Xenopus tropicalis: one gene and its partner. Each later gene encodes a partner of the first gene's protein in a complex. Links are inferred from orthologs where the notes say so. Each region holds a gene or a part of one and is shown in the gene's direction. Other genes may lie near its edges.

Evidence for each region. The genes of interacting proteins can lie anywhere in the genome.
Region 2: the proteins of cftr (region 1) and ywhab are in contact, whole or in part, in a crystal structure (PDB 6HEP), measured with the Homo sapiens proteins. The link is inferred for Xenopus tropicalis from reciprocal best matches to the Homo sapiens genes CFTR and YWHAB. Residues at the interface, in NP_000483.3 of Homo sapiens: Arg764, Arg765, Arg766, Gln767, Ser768, Val769, Leu770, Asn771, Leu772, Met773; in NP_003395.1 of Homo sapiens: Arg43, Asn44, Ser47, Val48, Lys51, Arg58, Arg62, Phe119, Lys122, Arg129, Tyr130, Glu133, His166, Pro167, Ile168, Gly171, Leu174, Asn175, Val178, Glu182, Ile219, Leu222, Asp225, Asn226, Leu229, Trp230.

The regions. Positions count from the first base shown.
Region 1 is NC_030679.2:68,497,686-68,501,823, forward strand, and holds the start of cftr (cystic fibrosis transmembrane conductance regulator), read left to right. Parts: upstream 1-905; 5' UTR 906-1,051; coding exon 1,052-1,104; intron 1,105-4,138. UniProt on the Homo sapiens protein: Epithelial ion channel that plays an important role in the regulation of epithelial ion and water transport and fluid homeostasis. Mediates the transport of chloride ions across the cell membrane.
Region 2 is NC_030686.2:12,511,987-12,516,168, forward strand, and holds the start of ywhab (14-3-3 protein beta/alpha), read left to right. Parts: upstream 1-969; 5' UTR 970-1,057; intron 1,058-4,182. UniProt on the Homo sapiens protein: Adapter protein implicated in the regulation of a large spectrum of both general and specialized signaling pathways. Binds to a large number of partners, usually by recognition of a phosphoserine or phosphothreonine motif.

The DNA.
Region 1 (4,138 bases):
CTTCAAATTTAATTCCCTTTCTTTCTGTGGTGAAAACTAGAACAGAATAAAGAGATAAATCTTTCTCATGGAATGTAATCTCGCCCAAAGTATCCAAACCCACATTCCTTCATTAACTGGGCAATGCATAGTGCAGTAAAAGATAACTATGTAACAATGCATTGCTTAGCAGGAAACCCTTTATGTTCGTTCCTAAGGTCATTGCATCTTAAAGTAACGTTTTTTGCAGCAACACTTTTATAGGTTGCATAGGAGACTGATTTGATTCGCTCTGTATACTGAACATTGTCATACTCCTCACTAATAAGTTCTGTGGGCAGGTAACTGTTGCTTATGCTCAAGCAATATAAAGTGCAAGCACCAGAGGTTAATGACCAAAATAGTAGGGAAAGACCAGATCTACCTTTCATCAGCACACAAGTCTGCAACTCCCCTAAGGTCTGATGGGAGACAGTTTTCTTAAGTATTCATGGGTTAATTCATGTTGGTGACATTAAAAACAAGGCAGGGGCAAACACGGCATAGAAGTGCTGCAAGCCTGCTGTACTTAGTGCTCCCAACCTTTATGTTCTCAATAAGTTGATATAGCCAGCATTTCTGTTACACATGAAGGGGAGAAGCATCTGACAGGAGCACTGGGGTGACTACAAAACTGATATCTATTTAAATATAGAAATCCTGCCAGCAGGAGCACATTATATATAATATACTCCTTGTGTATGTACAGAATTGCTTTTAATATGTTGTATACGATGCACTTAATGATAGAGGTTTAGCAGTACTGATTGTGAGAAAACAATTCAGCTTATTAAAAGAACACATTCTGTTTGCAGCACAAGCACACCCCTTTTTGTTACCTAAACGGAGAAAGGGAGGGGAGAGGGAGAATGAGAGAAAAGCAGAAGGAAGGAATGAAAGGCTGGGCTCTCTCTGTGCCTGGGCAGAGTCAAGGAGGGAGTGACTTCACCAGGCTGAGGGAATAAGGTGCGAGAGTGGTGACAGAGTGACATTACTGTGCCAAGAAGCCTGCAGCTGGCAGCACTGTGTCACCATGCAGAGATCCCCTCTGGAGAAAGCCAGCATCTTTTCACAGATTTTCTTTAGGTAAGTTCCTTCATACCTGTGCTAACCTGTTACTGACTGGCACAGAGAATAATGGCAGAGACATTCTAACTCTGGTGGGGTGCAGTGCCATGGTATGGTGCTGATGAGTTTAGGCCAGGAACATTCAAAGCTTCTACATTCAGGATCCTGATTTAGCAGTATCTTTATTACCCTGGACAAAAAACAAACACTCTGATTAATAAATCAGTTGCTGGCATTTTGGACTTTTACTGCTTGTACTTGCTTCATTTAGCCTGCACAAATACAGATCCAATGGCAAATATTTCTGCACTGCTTGTATTAGCTAAAGATGACTACAAGACAATTGTCAGTAATATACCCTATCTTTCACACTTACAGTAGCCCCAACCAGTTTACGTCTGTTTGCATTACAAAGGGAAAGTTAATTTTACGTTGACTTTTTGTGTGGATTCAAAGGATCTTCAGTATTGTTTTTTTAATTATTACATTTGCTATTCTAGCTAACCTTTTGGCTTAGCCTCCATTTGAAAATACAATCTGATTATCAGGGTCACTGACCTCAGCAACTATATTGCTTACTTTTGTGTTTAGACCATCACTTTGTCATTTTCCATTTTGATTTCAAAACTTCACTTTGGTTGCTAAGTATATTAACCCCTAGCAGGCAATTAAAAGTTGAAGAACCAAATATTTAAATAATTAAAAATCTATGAATACCAGTTGCAAATTGCCTTAGATTACTGTTATCTATGCCATATAAAAGTTAATTTTAAGGTTAACTACCACTAAATGGTTTTTTGATTAGCTTTGGGTGGTTTTTATAGCATGCACCATAACATAAAAGATTGTAAGCAGCACTTCAAGGCATAAAACGTACTGTATTGAAGAACACATTCTGCGTCGTTCTCTGACATGCTACTAGATATACCTATGTGTTTTACAAAGCATGTTAGCAGGAATCTTGTTACTCATCTACTAAAATGTCTCAAAATTTTTTACAGGCAAGGCACATTGTAATATTAACATGGCTGAAAGGATAATCTTGTTATTTAATCAAATAGTGACTGCAGGGGTCAAGCAGCAGGAGCTGTTAGCAAAAAACAGTGTAGGTGCACTGTTATTCCAGTATTTGAATAGAATTCATTGTATGATAGGGTATTGCTAAAGATTTGTGTGTCCCATAACAGTGGCTTTATTATTTCTATCCATCCTGGTAGTTTATTTTCATAACAGGCAGCTGGATTTATTCATGTCCTTGTATTAGTTGTGCTGTTCTGATTGTTATGGGATTTGGGCTCAAAAATCCTTTATGTGCATTTGCCTTGGCTTGCGAAATTGGAATTTTCAGAGGACAACAGGTGTGCTTAGCCTTACCACACATCACCTTTAAACAAGGAAGCTTAATACCAAAATAGCACAGACCTGCCTTATGATGTTTATTGTGTGACCATATTTGAAGCAAAGAATGAATAACCTTATCATTTAATGGAATAAGGACTTTGATTTTGATCTTATATTTCTAACTCCACGAGTTACATGAAATAACTCAGATTTTGTGGAATTGTATTTTTAGTGCTCCATTTTTTTCTGCATATTTACCTAAAAATCTGCCAGTTTAACCTTTTACAAAATTCATCAGAGCCAGCTAAATGGGACACCTATTCTAATTTCATTCAACCATGTGTATGTGGGTGTGTATGCAGAGTAACATTTTATAAAAAGAAATGACATCCAGCAAAATTATTAAGATAAATTAGAATTATATAGAAAATTGAGTGTCAATGCAAATCATTTTAGGCCAACAAATATTTGGAAATGGACTAAAAGGTCATTTGTCACTGAAGCTGTTGAAATACAAAATAAAAAGACAATTGCAGCAAGCTGTTTATGTCTGTTTGTTAAACTGTAGTTTGCGTGATTTGTAAACAGCGGTGCATACTACATAGACATAGCCATAGGCTATTAGGCAATAAAGGAGCATAGCAGTTAACTGAGAGTAAGAAACAAAAACTAATAGCATTGTTGTAATGAAAGGCACATTGGCCCCAATGCAGAATTTGTTGTCCTATACCCCTAGTCACAACCAGTTTGTAAATTCAATCCCCTTTCTCCATGTGGCCCATTAGGGCTTATTTACAAAGAAAGTGCACTGTGAAAAATGTAAATGCAATTCAACATGTGTTTTACTAACAAAGTCTCTATAAGAGTAGACTCCTAAAAAATTCCAATAACCAATGTTGACTCAAATCCCTTTCACAGAGCAATGGCTAAGAGAGGTGTATCAATGTATATATCATGCTTTCTTACATCTTATAAAGCCTGATTGTTACAGAATCATATACTGGGAGTTTACTTGCCCAGGGGCCACCATCTTCAATAGGCTAATAGACCAGGCTAATCATTACCCTTGTGATAATCAAATTAACATCAGACCAATAGACACTTGTTATGTACAATTTAGTTTTTTTTATTGACCCAGAAAGTGTTTACAGATCTAGAAATACACATGCTTTCATATTGCATCATTCCTACCATAAGAAATGTATCCCTTGCGTTTCAAACAAGCTGAAGTATTTTTATGATTATTATTTTAAAAACACCTCAGATGGTGACTCTACTGTGTGGCAACATTGTATTTCCAGGTATTGATATCCATTAATTAAAGTATGAAAAGAGATGGAGAGGAAGCCCCCTACCCTGAATCTTTTACATTTACCATAGCACCTGTGGAGGCACCTTCCAGCTACTCATTCAAGTTTCATTTAGCAGCTGTCATCTATATCTAGCTTTCACCACAGCCAGCATTTCATAAGCTGGCCTTTCATGGCCAGAGTTGGTTTGGCAGTTTAGCTTATTTATGCCATTTGTGCCCGATCCTTTAAGCATGTATGGCAAGTACGGCATTTTGTCTGTCTTGACAGAAGGGTGGGCCTTTTTGTTCACCTGTGCCAGTCCCATTTGAATGCTTTTTGGGGATTTTAAATCTGGATATTTATTTGTTATGTCTGTCTTGTTTATGTCACTTTCCCATGGCCTTATTGTCAACTCTATT
Region 2 (4,182 bases), on another chromosome or scaffold:
CCCCGGGGCTACACAGCAGGGTATTTATATAAACTATAGTAGGGTTTCTGTAGCAAACACCCCAGCTGTACCAGTGCAGGAATGGCTGCCCCCGGGGCTACACAGCAGGGTATTTATATAAACTATAGTAGGGTTTCTGTATATGTAATATTTTTATTACTTTAAAACAATTTCATTTTTGGTGTTTCTTTTCCTTTAAACATGTGGTATATTTTTTTTAACTGCAGGTCAGTGTGCCAAGGGTCCCCTGTAGAATAATTGCAGCTTGAAGGGCCACAGGCAGCCAGCAGCTTCTGAAACAAATACAATATCACTAGGCCGGTATGAGGCTGTACAGGGGCCCTAGAGGCAAAGGGACAATGGTGTAGGCCACTCGGTCAGCCTGACAGCAAAGGTCCCGAAGCACACGTTACAATCGCCCAAACTATTGCTTTATCGAAGCAGTTCATTGATTATTTTCACAACACCATTTTATTGAAATTGAATAAGCTAGATTTTTTTTTTTTTTCAAAGGGGGTGGGGAAAGATAAGCGGACGACAAAATGGAGACTGCAGCAGGTTAGACGCCTTCATTCCCCACAGAATGCACAATAACACATTCTGTATACCCCACGATTGAGAAACTCAATAATACTCATAACTGTGTCAGGGCAGCTTAATCCCCCTGATTTCTGCCCAAAAGCCCCGCAAAGTGTCGCCTCAAACCCCCTACAAGCTGACACTTGCCTCCCCTTCCCGCCCAGACGCGCTTCCTCCCACCCCTCCTGCTAAGACGGTTGACGTCATCTCCCCGTTGCCGAGGAAACGATGAGGTCACCCCGCTTCTCCCCTCCCTCCAGTGAAGCCGCCAGTGCTTGTTGTACTGTCAGGAGTTTAGAACTGAAGGAGAAAGGTGGAGGGGAGGGGCTTGGAGGCGGGGCTTGAAGGAAGCGGAAGTGGCGGCTGGAACGGAAGTGGAACGGCCAGTGAATCTGCAGGAGAGGAGGAGAACGGTGAGGGAAGCTGAGCTAGCCCGGGTCGAATTACTGAATCTATTGGCAGGTCGCGGATTTTTGAGGTACGTGCGATGGCAGAGAGCGTAGTGCATTCGTGTGGGAGATGGCGGCCATTCTATAGCCGCCTATGGGGTCGCTCCTTACAAGGGCGGGGATCTGTGCGCGGCCTGGATCCCTTTCCCCAGCGCCTGGGGCTCAACATCCGCTCGCTTTCCCCATTGGGGCCCCCTTAGTACCCCACACCCTCCGATGCGCAGGGTAACCTCGCCCGATCCGTAGGCCTCTTTCCGACCCTGTCAGCCGTATTATCCCCAGCCCTGCCCTTACACAGCTCCCAGCATTTCCCGTTACATGCTTTCCCTGTTAAATGGAAAATACGTATATAATTAATAGACTTTTTTTCTTTGTTATGGAAAACCTATAACCGCACATTATTGATTATTTTTTTTTTACCCCTTAATGTCATTCGTTGCCGGTGCCCCAAAGCTTTTTGTAGGCAATATCTCATTTAACCTATAGACGTCATTGAAACAGCGACACCTAGTGGCCAGATGCTTGTATAGTGTCACAAAGCAATACCGCAATACTGAAAAAGCACCAAGATAGTCCCCTGTAATTCGCTGCAGAAGAGTGTATACAGCCAGCACACACCTTATATACAATAGGTTTCATATACATATACAATGTGTTTCATAATATCAATCAGGAAGTGATCTCTTTATTTCTGCAGCAGCAGGAAGTGGCAAATCAGGGAAACAAATGCTCCATTTGGGGATATCTACAATTATACAGGATCAGCAACTCTATGGGGTGTTTATTTGTAGCCTTTCCAAGCCCTGATCTATATGCAGGCCTATTTATCATTATCTACACTTTCTAGGCAGCCTGAGGGCTACAGTTCACATACACTAGATCCCAATTACTGAATCCGGTAGCTAAATTGTCATGCAAACCAAGAATGTCATCTATAGTTGTACATTACATTAACATTTATTTATAAAGCGCCAACATATTCCGCAGCGCTGTACAATAAGTGGGTTACATACATTGGACATACAGAGTAACATATAAAGCAATCAATAACTGATACAAGAGGTGAAGAGAGCCCTGCCCAAAAGAGCTTACAATCTACAAGATAGCACTGCAACTAGCAACATCCTTGTACAGGTATGGGATCCCTTATCCGGAAACCCATTATCCAGAAAGTTCCGAATTACATAAATGCCATCTCCCATAGACTTCATTATAAGCAAATAATGTAATAATAAAACAGTACCTGTACTTGATCCCAACTAAGATATAATTACCCCTTATTGGGGCAGAACAGCCCTATTGGGTTTATTTAATGGTTAAATGATTCCCTTTTCTCTGTAATAATAAAACAGTACCTGTACTTGATCCCAACTAAGATATAATTACCCCTTATTGGGGGCAGAACAGCCCTATTGGGTTTATTTAATGGTTAAATGATTCCCTTTTCTCTGTAATAATAAAACAGTACCTGTACTTGATCCCAACTAAGATATAATTACCCCTTATTGGGGGCAGAACAGCCCTATTGGGTTTATTTCATGGTTAAATGATTCCCTTTTCTCTGTAATAATAAAACAGTACCTGTACTTGATCCCAACTAAGATATAATTACCCCTTATTGGGGGCAGAACAGCCCTATTGGGTTTATTTAATGGTTAAATGATTCCCTTTTCTCTGTAATAATAAAACAGTACCTGTACTTGATCCCAACTAAGATATAATTACCCCTTATTGGGGCAGAACAGCACTATTGGGTTTATTTCATGGTTAAATGATTCCCTTTTCTCTGTAATAATAAAACAGCACCTGTACTTGATCCCAACTAAGATATAATTAATTCTTTCTGGAGGCAAAACAAACCCATTGGGTTTATCCAATATTTAAATGATTTAACTTAAATTGTGGAGATCCAAATTACAGAATGATCCCTTATCCGGAAAACCCCAGGTCCTAAGCATTCTGGATAACAGGTCCCATACCTGTATAACAAAGGGTTGCTGTGGGCCCTTGGGCTTATCATTCAGCCACTAGAAGGTAGTTGGTATTTCCTAAATAAAGTTGGCACTTATCTGGCTTTGCAGATAATGGATCTTTCCATTATTTGGGTCACCATACCTTGAGGCCTGCTAAAAAATAGTTTAACCATTAAATAAACCCAGTAGAATTTTAGCTTAGTTCCCATCAAGTACACAGTACTATTTAATACAGAAGAAAGGGATCTCGGTAAAATACATTTGAATTATTTACTTATAATGTGCTCTATGGGAGATGCTCTTCCTGTAATTCGTAGGTTTTTGGATAACGGGTTTTGGGTTAAAGGGATCCTATACCTGTTCCAATTTATCCATCTAGAGATATGAGTATATGCCCATATAGTGAGATGATATACAGCCATATAGGAAAAGGTCTGCCAATCTATACACACATTTCCTGATCTCCCATGTAGCCCCTAAGCCGCGCTTAATCAATACATTTCTTGGCTCCTTATTCAGCTGATGGTCAGTATTGATCCCTGACAAGCTGCCTTTAATCCTGCTATGACTCCCATCCATATTTCATGTGTACAGCTCTTAAAAAATCAGAAGTCTATCTCAAAAGTCTATCAAACAAAGGCATGCTTGGCTATATGAATAATTAATAATGGCACGTTTAGAGTGAGAATATAAACGTTCTGCCCAGTGTGCCTTGCCATGATTAAGCAGTTTGGTTCTGGAGTGCTGCATTGCATTCTATGTACCAGCAGAGTTTATGCCAACAAAACATTTTTTTTTTTAAATTCTTCTAACGTTTTAATTGCTTTTTTCTTTTACTCAGGATTAGCACTGTGGTTGCATATTTGCTCTGCATACCCTTCTCATTAGAAAATGTGCTTAGCTTGTTTGTACGGATCCTTTGTGCCGGGTTGTCTATAGCCTCCTTGCACCAAGAAGCTCGGCTGTTAATTGCATACATGACATTGTAGAAAATCCTTTCACAGCCAATATTGCTAATTACCTTTGATCCGAGCCTCCAGTTCCGAGGCAGGCCAGTGGGTGGCAGTGTGCTGCATGTGTGTGACACAAGAATGCCTCTGCTTATCTGATTTTCTACAAAGTTGTCAGTGTAGGGGCCTTTTTCTCATGAACACACCATAACTAATATGCATTCAGTATAG